Canis lupus familiaris: one gene and its partners. The protein of the gene in region 4 purifies or fractionates together with the protein of the main gene of each other region. This does not show direct contact. Links are inferred from orthologs where the notes say so. Each region holds a gene or a part of one and is shown on either strand. Other genes may lie near its edges.

Evidence for each region.
Region 1: the proteins of FIP1L1 (region 4) and P4HA2 purify together in Homo sapiens (co-immunoprecipitation; 3 studies listed by BioGRID and IntAct, with this or other methods). This does not show direct contact. The link is inferred for Canis lupus familiaris from reciprocal best matches to the Homo sapiens genes FIP1L1 and P4HA2.
Region 2: the proteins of FIP1L1 (region 4) and CPSF3 purify together in Homo sapiens (affinity purification with mass spectrometry; 5 studies listed by BioGRID and IntAct, with this or other methods). This does not show direct contact. The link is inferred for Canis lupus familiaris from reciprocal best matches to the Homo sapiens genes FIP1L1 and CPSF3.
Region 3: the proteins of FIP1L1 (region 4) and CSTF2T purify together in Homo sapiens (co-immunoprecipitation; 3 studies listed by BioGRID and IntAct, with this or other methods). This does not show direct contact. The link is inferred for Canis lupus familiaris from reciprocal best matches to the Homo sapiens genes FIP1L1 and CSTF2T.
Region 5: the proteins of FIP1L1 (region 4) and CPSF2 purify together in Homo sapiens (affinity purification with mass spectrometry; 7 studies listed by BioGRID and IntAct, with this or other methods). This does not show direct contact. The link is inferred for Canis lupus familiaris from reciprocal best matches to the Homo sapiens genes FIP1L1 and CPSF2.

Annotation. Positions count from the first base shown.
Region 1 is NC_049232.1:20,539,136-20,543,403, reverse strand, and holds the start of P4HA2 (prolyl 4-hydroxylase subunit alpha-2), read left to right. Parts: upstream 1-1,466; 5' UTR 1,467-1,487; intron 1,488-4,268. UniProt on the Homo sapiens protein: Catalyzes the post-translational formation of 4-hydroxyproline in -Xaa-Pro-Gly- sequences in collagens and other proteins.
Region 2 is NC_049238.1:6,543,244-6,547,318, reverse strand, and holds the start of CPSF3 (cleavage and polyadenylation specificity factor subunit 3), read right to left. Parts: upstream 2,802-4,075; 5' UTR 2,740-2,801; coding exon 2,591-2,739; intron 1-2,590. Other genes in the region: proline-rich protein 2-like, read right to left, coding at 2,864-3,784. UniProt on the Homo sapiens protein: Component of the cleavage and polyadenylation specificity factor (CPSF) complex that plays a key role in pre-mRNA 3'-end formation, recognizing the AAUAAA signal sequence and interacting with poly(A) polymerase and other factors to bring about cleavage and poly(A) addition.
Region 3 is NC_049247.1:36,527,394-36,531,340, forward strand, and holds CSTF2T (cleavage stimulation factor subunit 2 tau variant), read left to right. Parts: upstream 1-1,137; 5' UTR 1,138-1,208; coding exon 1,209-3,107; 3' UTR 3,108-3,564; downstream 3,565-3,947. UniProt on the Homo sapiens protein: May play a significant role in AAUAAA-independent mRNA polyadenylation in germ cells. Directly involved in the binding to pre-mRNAs.
Region 4 is NC_049234.1:46,769,304-46,772,308, reverse strand, and holds the end of FIP1L1 (pre-mRNA 3'-end-processing factor FIP1), read right to left. Parts: intron 1,859-3,005; coding exon 1,721-1,858; intron 1,107-1,720; coding exon 959-1,106; 3' UTR 510-958; downstream 1-509.
Region 5 is NC_049229.1:1,459,458-1,463,171, forward strand, and holds the end of CPSF2 (cleavage and polyadenylation specificity factor subunit 2), read left to right. Parts: intron 1-114; coding exon 115-249; intron 250-845; coding exon 846-938; 3' UTR 939-3,201; downstream 3,202-3,714. UniProt on the Homo sapiens protein: Component of the cleavage and polyadenylation specificity factor (CPSF) complex that play a key role in pre-mRNA 3'-end formation, recognizing the AAUAAA signal sequence and interacting with poly(A) polymerase and other factors to bring about cleavage and poly(A) addition.

The DNA of each region.
Region 1 (4,268 bases), on a different chromosome or scaffold from region 4:
CTACCCCCCACCTCAGCCTTTGGTTGGTCCGCTTCTCATCAACCCATCACCCGTAAGTACGTCACCAGGAGGAGTGCCTGACACTGGAGCTGGGGACGGACAGAAACCCTTGGGGGAGCTTGGTCCTGTGGGGAGGACCCCAGGTCCCCCGTATTTTTCAAGGTCTTCTCCACTGGTCTGTCGATTGCACGGACGCCCGGGCCCCGGCCCCCCGGGGGGCCCCACCCCGCCCTGTAACTCGGGAGTGGTGACGATGGGGAGGGGCTGCAGGAGCCAGTGCCCGGCAGGACCCCCAGAAGATGCGCAGGAGCCCCGGCCGGGAGTCCCCACCGCGCGGGCGCTTCTGCAGCAGCGGGGAGGCAGGGAGGCAGGGAGGCAGGGAGGGCCGAGGCCCGCAGGTGGAGCGGGGCGAGGGGAGGCGGGCGCCGAGTACGTGCGGCGAGCTGCCGGCGGCATGAAGGGCGGGGAGCGGCTCCCGCCGGCCCGCAGCCTGCTCCCGGCCCCGGCCCCGGCCCCGGCCCCGACCCCGACGCGCGCGGCTGTCCGCCCCCCTTGCCCCCCCCCCCCCCCACCGGGCGGCTGGCGGGGACCACCCCGGCCGAGGCTGCCAGGGCGCGGAGCCGGGGCAGGGGCCGCCCGGCGTGCTGGGGGGGCGGGAGGTGGGGACGTGGCGACGGCTCAAGCGGGCGGGGCCGGGCCGCGGCGGGAGGCGGAGCCGCGGGGGAGGAGGCGCCGAGCGGGCCGGGCCGCCGCGGGAGGTTCTGGAGCCGCCGGGAGCCGCGCGTGTCCAGGTGAGCGCCCCGCCCGCGCGGCCCGGGGCCCCGGCTGAGCTCGGACGCTGGCGGGGCGGCGGGGAGCTGGGGGCCGGGGGCGTTCAGTGCGGCCGCAGCCCGGAGCCCGCAGCCCGGAGCCCGCAGCCCGGAGCCCGCCGCCCGCAGCCCGCCGCCCGCCGCCCTGGTTCTCCTCCCGCCTGGGTTCCTGCCCCGCCGCCTGCGGGCCCTCCCCGAGCTCGGGGCGGTGAGGTCAGCGGCGCCCTTCCTGCCGGTCCCTCGGCGGCCGGGCCGGGCCGGGCGGGGCGGGGCGGGGCACTCGGCCGCCCGGGCTCGGCAGGCTCCCCGGGAACGCGACGGGCGGCCGGGCCCCGAGGGCGGCCAGAGGTTGGCGGCGGAGGCGGGGCCGTCGGCCGGACCCCGGGGCCGCTGGGCGTGAGCGCGGGCCGCCTTGCTCCCCCGAGGGCCGGAGCCCCTGGCCCCGCGGGGTGCGCCTTGGTGCCCAGGAAACGGGCTGTTGGTTGAGAAACTTTTTTCCGCCCCTCTAGACGTCCCTTTCCAACGTGCGTTGTTTTTCCTTAGCAGCTGGGCTGACCTGTGGTAACAAGTTAACGAATTCAAATAACGACGCCTTCTGTGTGTCGCGCAGCGAGGAGTTGCTAGCCCAGCGGGGCGGACGGATTGAAGACTGGGAAAGTCCAGATCCAGAACAGTGTGGTGAGTGCTGTGCTGGGAGGGAGTACCAGGCTGTGGCTCTTTGGTAGAGGACAGGATGCTTCAGGCCAGAGGGCTTCCTGGAGGAGGTGGAATGGTCAGAGGAAGGCTAAAGAAGGGTAACCTGGACAGAGCAACGGTGTGTGTGAGTGGGAGCAGACCGGGGCACTCCAGTAGAGGTAAGGCGTTGAGGAAGGGACATTTAAGGGGGTAGCTGCCAGGTGGACCCTATGCGCTACAGTTTCAAGTGAGTACTAGGCAGTGCCTAGTACTGTGCTGTGCATGTGAGTGCTGCTCAGCAGGCGCACAGATCAGGGCACTTCCTACTTCGGGACAGTTGGGCCCCTGGCCTTGTATTCTAATGTGACATCTTTAAGATGGTGTAGCACATTAGTGTGCCTCCCAAGACTGAGACTGGTGTTTCTGCTGGAGAGTGCCAGTTAAAGCTTGTGTCGCCACCGCGGCCTCCTCCTCCTCCTCTTCTTCAAGATTTTATTTATTTATTCATGAGAACACACAGAGAGAGGCAGAGACATAGAAGGAGAAGGAGGCTCCCCCACAGGGAGCTGATGTAGGACTCCATCCCAGGACATCCAGGATCACGACCTGAGTCAAAGGCAGATACTCAACCACTGAACCACCCAGGTGCCCCAAGCTTGTGCTTCTTACTATAAACCCTTTGAAGCCTGAGAGCCTTAGCCTTCTTGCAGGAGATGCTGGTTCTGAGAGCAAGGGTTGGGGGACATCATTTTGTAGCTGAGAGCATTCTCACCTGTCCCAGATTTTGCCAAAATCCGCTGTCCACCTAAGAATTTGTAGAATGTTTTTGCAAGCTGCTGCTGCAAAAACACATATGGAACAACAGGTTCCATGATTTACTCCTCTGTTCAATGAGCCACGATTTCCTTTGGCTGATGTTTAAACTGCCCCTGAAGTGTCCAGGGTGCAGCCTCTCATTGTGATTCTGGGACTCAGAGCCCAGCTTCTTCTGTTCATTTCAACATACTCACAGGAGCGTGCTTTGAATCCTTTTTTCTTCTAGGTTTTTTTTTCGTATTCTCAGATGGCCAAGTATGTCCACTGTGCATCCCCAGCCAAGGAGGCCACGTAGCAAGGATGGAGTGAGTTGGCTGGCGGCCTCATCCCAGAGATGATGTCTTATTGGGCCACCCTCATTCTCCAAGAGCTCAGTAGACAGACATGATGACAACTAGGCATTGCCTGTGACTTGTGATAGACCCTTTTACCCAGTAGGAGTTTCTGAAATGGGGTGCCTGGGAGAATGCTTACTTAGCCACTGCTATAACTCGTACACAGCTGATCTCTCTTCATTCCTTGAGTACCTACCCTGTGCCTGGCTTCTACTTGGAGCGTGCCTAGGGGTAGAATTAGGAGGGAGAGGAGAAGGAGGTGGTATTGACGCTATCCTTGCTGGTGGGTAGCTCATAATCTGCCTGAGATTGCTGCTTCAAGTTGGCAGCTGGCCATGTGGCAGAGGAAGAGCTCAGAGAGTGAATATTCATCAGAAGGAGAGACTGTGTGGGTGCAGCCCTGAGGAATGACTAGGATGAGGGAATCTGGGATCTACTCATTTCCTGACAGAGCCTCACTTTTACTCTGCCCTCCCACATCCATGGGAGGTTCTGAGGCTGGATGCAAGACCTTGGCTGATTTGTGGCCACGCTGGCTGATAGTACATTGGGTTGGTGGGTGTGTCCCTGGCTCTTGGGATCTGTCAAGAGTTTAATTTTATGCAGATGGTGATTGGCAGGAAATGCTGTGATGCAGGCACGTGCAAGCCTAGACAGAATGCTAGAGCGAGAGTTAAACTTCGATTGCTTGAATCTGGCAGTTTGGACTTTCGAAGTGTCCCAGAGTGGGACATCAGCCTGTCTTAGAGGGAGAGGGCTAGTGGCGCCTGTGGTCTCTGGGGTTTTTGCTGGGGATATGGAATGAAGGATATAGTTTTTATTCTCAGAAGGGGTGGAGGGAAATGAAAAATCTGGACTAGACTTCTTGAAGCCTTAGAAGAGAGTTTTTGTTCAAATGGTGTCATTGCCAGCCAGAGGATTAAGTATTTGGGTAGTGAATTCTCCAGCTCAGATTGGATCTGTCTGAGCTTGTTCACAGTCCAGTACCTGCTTTAGCCCTTTTAGGAAGTGCTTGCTGGAGTATAGTTTGCTTTGTACCTGGCACTTCTGAGGACCAGGGTGTGGCTGAGATCCTGAGCTGAGGCCTGGTACTTGTAGGAACTTGGAACCAATACGTCAGAGGCATAGAAATACAAGAGATCCTAGAGTATTAGTCCAATCCCCTGCCTTTTACTGGAGAACTTTCTTTCCTTGATGAGCTATAGAGCCAGTGATTGACCTCTTCCAGAGTTATTTTCCTGATGATCAATGTGCTGCATTATACCTGACTCTGCTCTCTCCTAAAGTAATATTTCATTTCTTTTGGTCCTTGTGGGATGTGGAGATTGCCCAATATCTGCCTTGTTTTCATCTTCACTGTCCCCTAGACTGGACTGTATTCATTTCCAGGGATTAGCCAGGCAGCTGGCCACTTAAGGTCTACTGGTGTAACTCTAGTACCCTTGGTGCTGATATGTGGTATAAGTGTGCTTGATGGTAGGCTGCACACTGATAATTGTCATCTCATTCAGTCCTCACTGTGAGGTATAGGTCCTAATGTTATCACCATTATATAGATGGGAAACAGGCTCAGAGAGATCTGGAACTTGTGTAAAGTCACAAAGCTAGGAAGTGATGGTAGAGCTGAGATTGA
Region 2 (4,075 bases), on a different chromosome or scaffold from region 4:
GGTGTCTCTCCTGGGCTAGCACACAGACACCTTAAATTCAAATGCGCCAAACTCATTTTCACCTCAAACCCCTTGTACTTGCTTTTCTCCTGGATTATCCCTCAGATACTGACATGGTTGGCTTCTTTGTATCCTTTGGGTTTCAGTCCAAATGCCACCTGCGAAGGCCTCCTTCTGACCCCTCTTTTCATTTGCCCTTCACCAACTTTATCGTAACATAACTACATGAAGTTACTCTACCTATTTATAGTTTCTCACCATGAAAATGAAGGCTCCATATGAGCACAGGCATTGTCTATTTTGTTCATTATTTAGCTGCAGTACCTGAGATGCACTCAATCTCAACAAATACTTCCCAAGTGCCTAAAAACTCCTCTAAATTTTAACCTTGGAAACATTATGCTAAGTAAAAGAAACTGAAATTGGTCATAAAAGGTTGCATATTATATGACCTTATTTAAGTGAAATGTCCAGAATAGGCAAATCTGTAGAGAAGGAAAATTAGTAGTGGCCAGGGACTGGGGATGTTGGGGGAAATGGGAGTGACAGGCTTTCTTTCTGGAAGGACAAAAATGTTGTGGAATTAAACAGTAGTGATGGTTGTACAACTCTGTGAATATACTAGAAACCACTGAATTGTACACTTTCAATGGGTTGTATGGTATGTGAATTATATTTCAATAAAGCTGTTATAAAACAAGAGAATTCCCAAATTTATTCCAAATCTGCCCCAGCTCCCTAACTCGAGTGAATTCCATGATCGTTTACCAGTTGCTCCATCTAGAAATCCAAGACATCCTTACACTCCTCTCCACAGCTGCCCCTTCCAGTACATCTGATGAGCTACGAAACTGTAAAGATTTCAATTCCTTACTCTCTGAAACCTACTTCTTTCCAACTCAACTTTCATTTCATTCATTCCAAGCTCTCACTGCTTTTTACTGGGATTATTTCAATTCCATCCTCCTGGATTCTCTCCACTGAATCCACTCTTATTCATCTGCTTACCCTGCTGATAGGAGTGATCTTCCTAAACACAGCTCCCACTGTATCTCATGGATGCTTAAACCGTTCATTGGCTCTCTAGAACCGGCGTGAAAAGTGCCCAAACTCCTTAGTAGGTATACAAGCCGGTCCCTGGGTCCCTTTCCCACCTCATCTGCTCATCTTTCAGTCACAGCCATGAGGAAACTGGCCACAACTACGACCACTCTCTTCACATGTGCCACTACTGCTGCCTGGAACACCCTTGCCCTACACTATTTTTAGTTCCTATTTATCCTTTAGGGCTCAGCTCACCCATTCTATTTCCCAGGATGCAGCTGTTAGCTTTCTCTTCTTAATTTGCTAGAGTGTGTGCCTCTCTGTTTTCTTCTAACATTCCATTTACTGAGCACCTTCTATGATCTTCAAAGTAAGTGTGGCTATATTATTTTCACATGAAGAAATGGGTTCAGTGAAGTTGCTGCCAGGAAGTGACAGAGCAGGGACTGAATTCCACGTCTGACCCCCAAGTAAGGGTCTCCTATTATTCTAAACTATCTCTCCGGAACTTCTCACTTTGATCTGCAATTCCTTCCAAAAGGGTGAATTCAGTTAACTCGGCGCTCTCTTAGGTGCATCTCCAGTGCCCAGTGCCACGCTTGACACTTGCTCAGTGTTTGCTGCCCACAGGAAGAGAGGGTGAGCGCGAGATGAGTGGTGGAAACTTGTGTTATGTCCCCAGCAGGTGCTCAACTAGGCCCTACTGATGGATGTGTAGATACTGCCCACCTTTTGAGGAAAAAAAAAAAAAAGCACAGGTTAAGGTGACGTTGACTCCTATCTACATGTGTTTGTGAATTCAAATTGCTCGCCTACAGGAAAAGGGGGGGGGGATGGGAGTGACGACAGGCTTTCTTTCTGGAAAAAGAATTTTCTCCACAGGTCTGCTTTCCGGATCTGGAGAGAGTGTTTCTCCGGCAGACCGCCACCTCCACTGAAAGACGAGCCCTCCCACGGACAAACGCGGGCTGAATTTCTGTCAACATCTCCGCTCTTTCTCCTCTCCGTCTACCTTCCTTATTCTGCTAGGGTCTGAAGTCTGGACCTCAAAACTCATACAGCTAATGGATTTCCTCTTTCCCGTCTTGGCAAATGTCAAGTCCTGGAGGAAACAATAAACAGCTTTAGTTCTGCTTCGCGCCGCCACAGCCTAATCCGGGTCCTCCTGTCATCCCGCCGCCGCCAGCAGCACCGCTTCCCCCAGCGCTTCCACTCTAGCACCGAGGAAAGCGCCCAGAGGCCCAAAGCCATTCTTTCCCGCCGCCAACCCCAACATCCTCTGCCCTGAGATCGAAGAAAAGCCACGTCCCGCTCAACCCAGCAGACCCGTTCCGACCCACGTTTCTCCGAACCCCTTCAGCCTGAGAGGCCCGGCCCGCAGCGGCGGAGCAAGGGGCGGCTCCTGAGGCCTGCGGGCGAGGGGACGACCGGGGGGGCGACCGCGACGGGGGGGCGACCGCGAGGAGGGGGGCGAGGCCGACCCTCCGGCCGCCGCGCCTGCCTCTCACTGCTCCCAGCTTCACTCCCTCTCGCGCTGGGCCCTTACAGGGGTCGGATCAGCAGCTGGTCACTTTCCTCGGCGGGAATCGCAGACATCTCCGAAATCTGACGGCGAAGCGGGGGTGAGGAGCAGGCGGCGCGAGTCTGCGTAAACAGAAAGCAGAGCCACGGGGAACCTGAGGTAGAAAACCCCATCCACCAAGAGCACAACTTCCGGCACTCCGGCGCCCGCGACACCAGGCTCCGCCCCTCGACTTCCGGCCGCGGAACCCGGGTCGCGAGGCTCCTCCCCCAGCGGAGTCCGGAAACCGGGGCGGGGTCACGTGTGCGCCTGCGCGGTGTCTCGGAGGCGGGGCTCGGCGGGCGGGGCCGGGGGCGCCGGAAAAGCTGGCGCTGGATTAGAACTGGAGTGGCTGCCCCGGCGTCGGTTCCCGGGTCGGTGGGGGTCTGACCTGGGTCGCAGGCGGCCCCAGGGGCGGGCCGGCGGCTGCGAGGTGAGAGCCGAGCCGTGGCCGAACCCGGGCTGAGCCTGGCCGGGAACGCGGGAGCTGGGGCGGCGTTGGCGGGAAGGCCCGCGGTGGGGCGGATGGGTGGGGCGGCGGGGGCCGCGGGGTCCCGTCCTCCCGGGGTCGGGGACCCGGGCCCGGAGGCGGCGCGGGGCGGGCGGCGGGGCCGAGGAGCGGGCCGGGGCCTGTGGGAGGATGCGGTGCCCCCGTCCCCGCCCCGGTGCCCGACCCCAGCTCGGGCTGGGACTGCAGCGCCCGTGACGACAGGTGTCGGGGTGCATCGGTCCCGTCTGCCGCGGGGCGGCTTCGCGAGTCGGGCTCTGCTTTCTGGGGCGGAGAGGAGCACCGCCCCTCCGCGCCGGCCCCCGCGGGGGTGTCCCCCTGCCGCCCCTCCCCCACCGCGCCGGGCGGGGGGCGCCGGTGTCGGGTCCGCTGTCGCCGTGCGCACCTGCACCTGCACCTGGCAGGCGCCGCTCAGCCGCGCGACAGGCGCGGGAGGCCCGGTGCGGTCTGGGGAGAGCGTGGGCCCGGCTGTCTCGGGTTCCGACCTCGGCCCCACCCGCGATTAGCCCCGCGGCCTCAGCCGAGTCCCCTCGAGTTGTGGCTTCTTCCTTTGAAAGGGGCTGTAATACTGCAGCCTTGCTGGTCTCTAGCGCGGGTTGCAGGCACACACAGCACCCGGCACTGGACGGCGCACGGCAGGTGTTCAGGACAGGAGGGTTCTTGGATGTCATCTTCCCAGAAGGTTCTTTGGTTCATTAAGCATGCCCTCCGCCAGCCCGTGCCAGGCATTGGGTGCACCGAGATGCAGGACCTAGCCCTGTCTTTGAGGAGCTGGGGGGGAGGTGGTTCTAAGTAGGCGGATGCTGAGATCAAGGTGTATGCTCAGGCTGCGGAGCATGGGCCCTTAGCCCAACCTGGAGAGGTCCAGCCCAGGCTTTCTGGTAAAGAAGCAGCCTGGACTGAGTCTTGAGAGGTGAGTAAAGTTAGCTGAATGAATAAAAGGTGTAAGGGCACGCAGACAG
Region 3 (3,947 bases), on a different chromosome or scaffold from region 4:
GAGCCCGGGGTCGGGGAGCAGCGTCAGCTCAGGGAGCACCGAGTGAGAAAGCATCACCAGCTAGGGGAGCACGGAGCTGGGGAGCACCGTCGGCCCAGGGAACCCCGGGTCAGGGAGCAGCATCAGGTCGGGGAGCCATCGAGTTGGGAGGCACCGTCAGGTCTGGGAGCCCCAGGTCTGGGAGCAACGTCAGGTCGGGGAGCCCGGGTCGGGGGAGCAGCGTCAGGTCGGGGAGCAGCGTCAGCCCAGGGAGCCCTGGTCGGGGGAGCAGCGTCAGGTCGGGGAGCCCCGGGTCGGGGAGCAGCGTCAGGTCGGGGAGCACCGGGTCGGGGGAGCAGCGTCAGGTCGGGGAGCCCGGGGTCGGGGAGCAGCGTCAGGTCGGGGAGCCCGGGTCGGGGAGCAGCGTCAGCTCTGGGAGCCCCGGGTCTGGGAGCCCCGTCGGGTCGGGGAGCAGCGTCAGCTCGGGGAGCACCAAGTCGGGGAGCAGCATCAGCCCAGGGAACCCCGGGTCAGGGAGCAGCGTCAGGTCGGGGAGCAGCGTCAGGTTGGGGAGCCAGGGTCGGGGAGCAGCGTCAGCCCAGGGAACCCCGGGTCGGGGAGCAGCGTCAGGTCGGGGAGCACCGGGTCGGGGAGCAGCGTCAGCTCTGGGAGCCCCGGGTCGGGGAGCCCCGTCGGGTCGGGGAGCCCCGTCCTGCAGAGCGAGCCGCCGCGCGTGCGGGAGCAAAGCCCGGCCCCGTGGGACGCCCACACTGGGTGCCCGCGACCTGGGCCGACCAGAGGCGGGCGCGGCCGGGGTCCGCCCCGCAGCAAACCGAGCGCACGCCCGGGGAGGGAGCGGGGAAGCCCCGGTCGGTGGGCGGTCTCCCGCGGGGCAAACGGCCTCCAGAGCGCCGTGACGTCGCGGCGACGTCCGCTCCCGGCGCCCACGGCGAAGCCGCTGCGGCCATCTTTACTGCGGTCAGCCCCCCCGGGGGCCGTTCCGGGCGGCCGCGGCGGCTCGCGGTGGGAAGCCTCCTCGCGAAAGGCGCGCGTCGGAGCGCACCGGCGGACGCACTCGCGGGGGCGGGCGGAACGATCGGGCCGCGCCTCGGCGGTTTCCGGGCGGACGCCGGCCGTCGGCTTCCGCTGCTCGGCGGAAGCGAGGCCGCCGAGGAGGAGGACGAGCGCCGGCCACCGCCGCGCCGCGCCGCGCCGGGCCGCCGGGAGCCATGTCGAGCCTGGCGGTGCGGGACCCGGCCATGGACCGGTCGCTGCGCTCCGTGTTCGTGGGGAACATCCCGTACGAGGCGACGGAGGAGCAGCTGAAGGACATCTTCTCGGAGGTGGGCTCGGTGGTGAGCTTCCGGCTGGTGTACGACCGCGAGACGGGCAAGCCCAAGGGCTACGGCTTCTGCGAGTACCAGGACCAGGAGACGGCGCTGAGCGCGATGCGCAACCTCAACGGGCGCGAGTTCAGCGGCCGCGCGCTGCGCGTGGACAACGCCGCGAGCGAGAAGAACAAGGAGGAGCTCAAGAGCCTGGGCCCCGCCGCGCCCGTCGTGGACTCGCCCTACGGCGACCCCATCGACCCCGAGGACGCGCCCGAGTCCATCACGCGCGCCGTGGCCAGCCTGCCGCCCGAGCAGATGTTCGAGCTCATGAAGCAGATGAAGCTGTGCGTGCAGAACAGCCACCAGGAAGCGCGCAGCATGCTGCTGCAGAACCCGCAGCTGGCCTACGCGCTGCTGCAGGCGCAGGTGGTCATGCGCATCATGGACCCCGACCTGGCGCTCAGGATCCTGCACCGCAAGGTCCACGTGACGCCGCTGCTGCCCGGCAAGGCGCAGCCCGGCCCCGGCCCCGGCCCCGGCCCCGGTCTCGGCCCCGGCCCCGGCCCCGGCCCCGGCCCCGCCGCCCCGGCCGTCCTGCTGGCCCAGCAGAGCCCCGCCGCCCCGCAGCCGCCGCACCTGGCGCGGAGGCCCGTGAAGGACATCCCCCCGCTGATGCAGACCCCGATCCAGGCCGGCATGCCGGCGCCGGGCCCCCTGCCCGCCGCGGGGCCGGGCCCCGGGCCCGCCGCGCTCCCCGCCGCGGGCGGCATGCAGCCGCAGGTGGGGATGCCCGGCGTGGGGCCCCTGGAGCGCGGCCAGGTGCAGATGGCCGACCCCAGGGCGCCCCTGCCGCGGGGGCCCATGGCCGCGGGGGGCCTCCCTCCTCGGGGGCTGCTGGGGGACGCCCCGAACGACCCCCGCGGGGGGACCCTGCTCTCGGTCACCGGGGAGGTGGAGCCCCGAGGCTACCTGGGCCCGCCCCTGCACCACGCGTCCGGCCACGCCAGAGACTCGCACGACCTGCGGGGCGGGCCCCTCGCCGACCCCAGACTGCTGATGGGAGAGCCCCGGGGGCCCATGATGGATCAGAGGGGGCTCCCCATGGATGGCAGAGGGAGCAGAGATTCTCGAGGGATGGAGACGGAAGTCCTAGAGACCAGAGTGCTGGAGAGAAGAGGGATGGAGACCTGTGCGATGGAAGCCAGAGGCATGGACGCGAGAGGGATGGAGATGCGGGGCCCCGGCCCCGGCCCCGGTTCCAGAGGCCCAATGACTGGGGGAATCCAGGGGCCCGGGCCCATTAACATGGGGGCGGGTGGTCCTCAGGGGCCCAGACAGGTGTCGGGCATTTCAGGGGTGGGAAATCCTGGAGCTGGCATGCAGGGGGCGGGCATGCAAGGAGGGGGCATGCAGGGGGCAGGCATGCAAGGAGGGGGCATGCAGGGAGCAGGCATGCAAGGAGGGGGCATGCAGGGGGCAGGCATGCAAGGAGGAGGCATGCAGGGGGCAGGCATGCAAGGAGGGGGCATACAGGGGGCAGGCATGCAAGGAGGAGGCATGCAGGGGGCAGGCATGCAAGCAGTGGGCATGCAGGGGGCAGGCAAGCAAGGTGGAGGCCAGCCTAGCAGTTTCAGTCCTGGGCAGAGCCAGGTAACTCCACAGGATCAGGAAAAGGCAGCTCTGATCATGCAGGTTCTTCAGCTGACTGCAGATCAGATTGCCATGCTGCCCCCCGAGCAGAGGCAGAGCATCCTGATCTTAAAGGAACAGATTCAGAAGTCTACTGGGGCTTCTTGAGCGGTGTCGGGAGATAACCGGCAGTGGTCTCCGAGTTTTCCTGTAGCATGGAGGGTGGATGCAGAAAGCCAACGTCTGCATCCCCACGCTCCAGTGATTAGGGTTTCCCTTCCTGATTTCATCTTGTCTTTTTATTTTCCTTTTGTTTTCCTTTTTAATGGGAGCGGGGGGGGGGGGGGCGCAGGGGGAGGCAGGATTGGGTCTGTTCACTTTTACTCACTGTATATACACAAGAATAACTCTGAACGTGGTTATACTACACGGAGTAAGATGACAAAGAACGCAGCAATACTGAGAGTGTCTACAATATGTTAAACTACATTTTTTGAATACCGAGTAAAACAATGTGAAAACTGCACATAAGGACTAAACTATTGACCTGTTAAAATGGTAACGTGCTAAAACAGTTTACGATTTTTGGTTGTGTAAGAAAATAAAGACGTTTACCTCAAAGTTATCAGATACATTTTTTTTTGGTAAGCCGTTTGAAATAGCAAATGCTATTTTGGGGACAGGAGATGGTTGTATTAGGTTAAGCATCGTTTTAGTGGAATTATTTAAAAATGTTGGTGCTAACAGGTTAAGTCTCAACTTGTGGTATTAGAACTGGATGGTGGGTTTTGTTTTTATTTTTGTTTTTTTTTTTTAGTTTGTTTTTTTGTTTTTTGTTTGTTTGTTTTTAAAGCTGTGCTACCTGAAAAATCCAGGAGTGCATGTGGTGTGACGTTGCGTGTATCCCGCCGTCCAGAGAGCAGCAGTATTCCGGCCTGGCCTTGAGCCTGACGGTTCTGCTGGGACGGCCCTAGGACGGGCCAGGGTCCCGAAGGCCGCTCTCTCAGT
Region 4 (3,005 bases):
TTAGTATATGACATTAAATTCATTTCAATTATCGCTACTTAAAGGATCCTAGTAATTCATTCTTTCAAAACCATGTTGTTACCACCACTGACAAATACATCCTAAGGCTTATCCCTAAAAACGCTCACAGAATTATAAACGTGTATTCTTAGATTTAATAGGAAAGGACTAATCTAAAGCTCTTGTCTTTTCTTTCACAACTAGCTAGTAACTGTATAAAACCTCCACATACTGCTCAACCAATGAGCTTTGGAAAAAGCATCAAGAAAGGCCAAACCAGCTTGACCCCAGCTCATAAACAGCCATGAGACAATTCAAGTTTGTGTCACAGTGACGCGTGTTTGTCCACGTGCCTGCTATAAAAACTACCCTTAGGGCAAGTTATTTTGCAGACACCAGCCAAATGCCTTTAGATTTTACTAATTTGGATATAAAAGTTCCCTCTTTAGTTATACCATGAACCCAAATTAAGAACACTGAAAACCTATCAAAAAGTTGTGATATCAAAACTGTATACGAGTACTTTAATACAATAAGCAAGAGTGCCACAGCAGTATTGATAAAGACTACTTTTAATCTCAAGACCCAGAGGTGCCCTTTTGCAGTGCAACCTCTTGAGACTGGTATTTGATTAACTCAAGAAAACTATGGCCAAGGTGAAACCTTAACCTTTATCAGATACTGTGTGTGTACATAGCTCTTTAAAATTCCCTGCTGAGTGACTCATTCACATTACTTTCTTGGATATAAGTCATTGCTGTCTTTATTTTTTTAAATATTACAAGACAAAGATTTTTAACTTAACATGAAAAATTTACTCTTTTATTTTGAGAAAAAAGTTAACTTTTCATACTAACAGAACAAGATTAAAAGTAAATTTCTTAAACATTATCCAGAAAAATAACAAGATTTATGGTACATTTCTGGCCCTAATATACACAACAGGCCATAGCCATGCCTACTCAGCAGGTGCAGCTTCAGTGCTCTCCTGTTCAGGGGCAGGCTCACTGCCTGCTTCTTTTCCTTCTTTGCTTCTCTTAGATTTTTTGTGCTTGTGTCTCCTGTGACTGTCTCCTTCTTCACTTTCATGGCGACGTCTACTGTTACTGAAAAGGAAAAAAAGTTGTGTTAAGTACACACGAGATAAGAAATATCAACCTACTATGTCTAAGTTGAATTCCCAATATAACACTGGGTTTTAAATGAATTCTTTTTCTCAAACACACTTTGAGGAGTAACCAGTTATGTGACTTTTATATGGAGATTGTATGTACAGTATAGGTTCACCTGCACCTGATATTATCCTACATTCTCAGAGCCCATATACTTTATCCTGAAAAACTATTACAAATTAGAAACTGAAGCACTAAATCGGAACAGGAAATACTTTCTAGAACTGATCCTAAACCAACAAACAACAGGCATACAATTTTAGACTATGAGGCCCTGATTTTTCTTTAAATATTAGTATTACTGGTTCATAGGCTAAATAAACCCCTCTCCCAACAAGACAGTAATAAGTCCATGAGTACTAAATGAGGTCTTTTTAGATTTAAAAATCTTTGATGAGCCTATAAGCAACCAACTACTTCAACACATTACTCTTAATCTTCCAATTAGGAACACATATGCTCTACTAGTTATTTGGAGAGGTTTTTAACTTTTTGCAGTCAAATCAATTTCTCTGAGCTTCAAAGTGATTCACTATAAAAGAACAAACCTTCGAGAGGACTTGTGTCTGGTTTCCTCCTTCTCTCTGTGTCGTCTTTCTCTGTGTCGTTCTTCTTTCTCTCGACTTGCTCTGTGGCGCTCATAGCCTCTTTCTGCATACTCCCTGTATCTGTATCGCTCTTCATCACTGAAATTGGAATAAAAACTTTTCATGACAACTGGACTGTTTAATTCTGAATAACTTCAAACTACAAGGGATGTGATCTGAGTCCAAACCAGAAGACCTCACACTGTTATTAGCATCTTATACAGAATAGGTGCAAAATATTTATTGACTTGAGAAGAAAACAATGCCATTCCCAACTAGCACTACATCTAATATAAAACATGTAATAATTACACGTTAGAAGTCCAATTTTATTTTGTGCTTTCAGTTGTTACGGAGTAGAAATTATATATACCAGTTTTTTTTTTTCCTTCCAAGAACTGGGAGCTATAACAGATTTAAATTTTAATCAGCCTCATCTTCTTTTATTCCTTTTAAAATTAAAAGCATGTTTGTATATCTTCGATTTCTAACCAAAATTCTTTTAGAATCTTTGTGTGCTTAAGATTTTATAAATAATAAAAATATTCAATTCACAATGGCTAGAGAGTGTAAAGTAGATGAAGGTGCTTAAGTTTTTCAATCACATGAAGAGTACATGCTTCTAAGGAATAGATACAGACATAAAGACAGGGACAGCAGAGCAACTTCTACAATATCCACACAAAATGCAGGCAAAACACTACCCGTGGACAAACTTACAGTCTGACATACTATAGGAGAATGTGTGTGTGGCTAGGGATGGGGGGATTCACATGGCTGACAGCAACAAGTGCATATACCTAGGCTGCACTTCCATTTCCTGATTTTGGATAGAATGAACTGCCGAAACAGGGACTGATGGCTAGAATTAGACGGTAGTCTTTTTTTTTCTTTAAACCTCCCTAGATCTATCCTCTCTTCATGTCTCTTCACTTATATTCTTCTCTCCATCTTTCTCTTAATTCTTCAAGCCTTTTTTTTTTTTGGAGGGGGGGGGTGTTTCAGCACAGAAGTCAACAATTTCCATAACCTGCTATCAGAAACTCAGAAATAAATATTTATCAGAAATAAAGAGCTTCGGTTTCTGGAAAGATCTAATATAAGTCAGTAATCTGCATGACGCATCATGATGTTAAGACATTTGAGTAAGACAGGATACAATATCAGGTGAAGCCATATAAAAGAGAAAGCTTAATTATCATCTCCTACCAAAAGCAGTGATTCAGTAGTGCTATACCTAACAACG
Region 5 (3,714 bases), on a different chromosome or scaffold from region 4:
TCTTCAGGGAATGATAGAAAATATCTTAGAGATGTGTTACTGCACTTTATTCAGTACAACTGTATGTGTGGTGTCTTATTTGAAGTTCTTCTTTCCCCTTTATCCTTGTTTAAGGTTCCTGGACATCAGTCAGTTTTTATGAACGAACCAAGACTGTCAGACTTCAAACAAGTTCTTTTACGGGAGGGGATTCAAGCTGAATTTGTAGGAGGTGTGCTTGTTTGCAACAATCAAGTAGCGGTCCGTAGAGTAAGTGTGGTTTTTTTCTTTGTTTTGTTTTGTCTTTAGGATTTTATTTATTTATTCCTGAGAGACACAGAGAGAGAGAGGCAGAGAACAGGCAGAGGGAGAAGCAGGCTCCATGCAGGGAGCCTGACGTGGGATTCGATCCTGGGTCTCTGGGATCACGCCCTGGGCTGAAGGCGGTGCTAAACCTCTGAGCCACGTGGGCTGCCCGTAAATGTGTTTTTAATAAGGGGCAAAGTGAACAAATATTTCCTTCTGATGTGTTGCCATTTTGACTTCTGTGATTCTTGATCAGTAATTTCACAAACTGGAGACCGTAATTTATATTCATAATGATGACCTTAAAGGCTTATAAAAGTGACTCTTAAAGAAATAATGTATAATTTTACTGTAAATTTTTATTACTTGAATCTTGACATTTACATATCTATGTAAAATTCATGACTTGAATGTAATATCCTTATTTTGTGCTGAGCAACCCATTTCCAGACCAATCATCAAATAGTCGAGTTAATATATCTTGTTTATTATGTCTGCATATTAATAGCAAATATACTAAAGTTTGTTTTTTGTTTTTGTTTTTGTTTTTTACTTTCTAGACGGAAACTGGACGCATTGGATTAGAAGGCTGCCTTTGTCAAGATTTTTATAGGATAAGAGACCTTTTATATGAACAGTATGCCATTGTGTAAAGGACATGATGTCAGGAAGTATCTGTTTGACCTTTCTAAGAAAAAAGCGTTCTTATTCTAAGCTTTTGCTTTTTTGTCTTGTAACATACAGAAAGAATTGCCAGAAAAATTTAACATGCATTCGATTTTTTAAAAAATGTAAATAGAGTCCATTTTGCTAATGCTCAAATGAGCACTCCACATTTTAGCTTTCAGAGTGATAGAGATCCTAACAAGTGTGCAGGCCCAAGAATCGAAGGTGATTGGTTTTCTCTACAGACCCCTTGTTCTAGAAGGGCTTTTTACTTGAATAAAACAATGCAACTTAGCAAACCAGCTCATGGCCTTAGAGAAACATGTTTGCATGTTGTGAATTCTTGCAAACAGTTTCTTAAATTTTCTGGAATGAAAAGTGAGAATTATTGAGAAAAGATGTGCTATGTAAAAAAAAAAAAAAAAAAAAAAAAAAACTGAAGATACAGTTTTTTGAGGCCCGTGTGTTTAAAAAAGAAAAAACAAAGAGTATGTGCTCTAACTCTTCTTTTGAATTCTGATATGCAGTTGTCTTCACACATATCTCCTTACCCTACCTGTATTTCCCAGTTATTCAATCTAGTGGAAGGTGGTACATATTTCGTTCAGAAATCAATTTTTATTTCTCCTATTACTTTACCAAGATTTTGTTGTTCAGGTTGAATTACAACAACTAACATCATTTGAATATATGTAGTGCAAAAGAACTCCTGCTATTTTAGTCTTAAGGATTCTGTATACATGTTAGATACATCTTAGCTATCGCTAGGTTACTTCATTGAGAACTGTTTAGTGCTTTGTTTTTAAGGAAACAAATGTTGAACCTTATATTTTTATAAGGTGATAGTATAATTGAATCAAAAGGTGTAAATGTTTTCATCTCTTAGGCTTGCTCCCTCCTAAGGTTGCAGAAGCAATGGTTGGATTTTATACACCTTACTACAAAAATAATACTGAAGTTGTATAAGGTCATCCTTTCTGTGTTCCTGTCTTTCTTGGGGCTAGCGGCCCAAATACAGTATAAACCACTTGTGTTTAAGAGTAAAAACTGAATATATGCAATTTTCATTGAACTTAAAAATGAGAATCATGTTGCCCTATTATAATCTTGGATGCTTGTCTAGTGTGTAGCTTGATCATGGCAGTCCTTGATCTTTATTTCTCAAGTAATTAAGCCCTCTTTTTAATGCTTAGCATTTTTAGAAGGATCATTCCTGTTTAACTTATATGGAACTATACATAGTATAGTACTACCCAGTGATATCAGACTAGAATTAATATTTTATTCTCTTTCAAAGTTTATAAAGAATTTGTTGTGGATTATAGTGCTAATGCAAAGTTTCAGTCTTCTGATAGCAAAAATCAGATATGCAGAACACCATTACAGAAGGTGACGATAAAGAGTATGTTTTCTTTGTAGAGCTTTGAAAAAATTCAACTTAAAATCCTGTTACTGAAAAGAGTAAGCCTGGAATCCTATTTATATTCCAGGGGAAAGAAAGTCTGCATTTGTTATATGGCTTGAAGCATCTGGTTATACAGATTACATTGCGATACTGATATTGAAAAATTATTTCTCACTTAGCCTTTTTATTGTCCTATGAACAGGAATTAAATTTTAAAGTGCTGCTTGAAGATGGCTGTGCTAACTAATGTCATTGCAAGAGCAATACTTTGTCCTGTTTATTGATGGCAGGATTACTAAAATTTCTAAAATGAAGACATTTCTTTAGCCTTAGTTACTTAAAAATATACATTTAAAAAAGGCTATAAAATAAATCATGAACTCAGAGGAACTTTCAGATTTTGTTTAGAGGCAAAATAAATACAAGTGGACCATCAGCTGATTATAAATAATTTGGTCAAAAAAATTTATTGTAGTATTTGTTACAATGAATTATAAATGTCAAGTATTGTTGAAAATTATTGTTTTTATGAACCAGTAGGTGGTCTGAAATAGAAGTGAGGAAATCAATTTTCTAAGAGGGCCTTTTTAAAAAAAATTTGAAATTCATATACCATAAAATTCACTCTTTTAAAGTATATAATTCATTAGCTTTTAGTATATTTAAAGTAGTGCAACCATTACCACTCTCATTCCAGAATATTTTCATCCCCCCAAAAAGACACTCTGCCAATTAGCAGTTATTTTCCATTCCCTTCACCCCAGTCCCAAGCAACCATCAATCTATTTTCTGTCTATATGGATTTGCCTATTCTGAATATTTCATAAAAATGAAATCATACAATATGTGGCCTTTTGTGTCTGACTTCTTTCACTTAGTATGATATTTTCAAGATCCATTGATACTGTAGCATGTGTCAGCACTCTTTATGTGGTTGAATAATATTCCAGTGTGTGTATATACCACATTTTGTTTATCCACTCATCAGTTGATAGACATTTGGGTTTTTTCAATTTTTGTCTAGTATAAATGATGCTGCCATGAACATTCCTATACAAGTTTTTTGTGTGAATGTAGGTTTTCAGTTTTGGGGGAACATATTCCTAAGAGGAGAATTGCTGGATAATACAATAACTCTTTTGAGAAACTGTCAGTTTTCCAAACCTTATTTCCAAAGTGCCAATGCTATATTACATTCCCACTAGCAGGATGTGAGGATTCCAATTTCTGCACATCCTTGGCAACACTTGTTTCCTACCCTATTTTTTATTTTAATCGTCCTAGTGTGTGTGAAGAGGTATTTCATGGTTTTGATTTGCATTTTCTTAATGACTAATGATGTTGAGCATCTTTTCTGT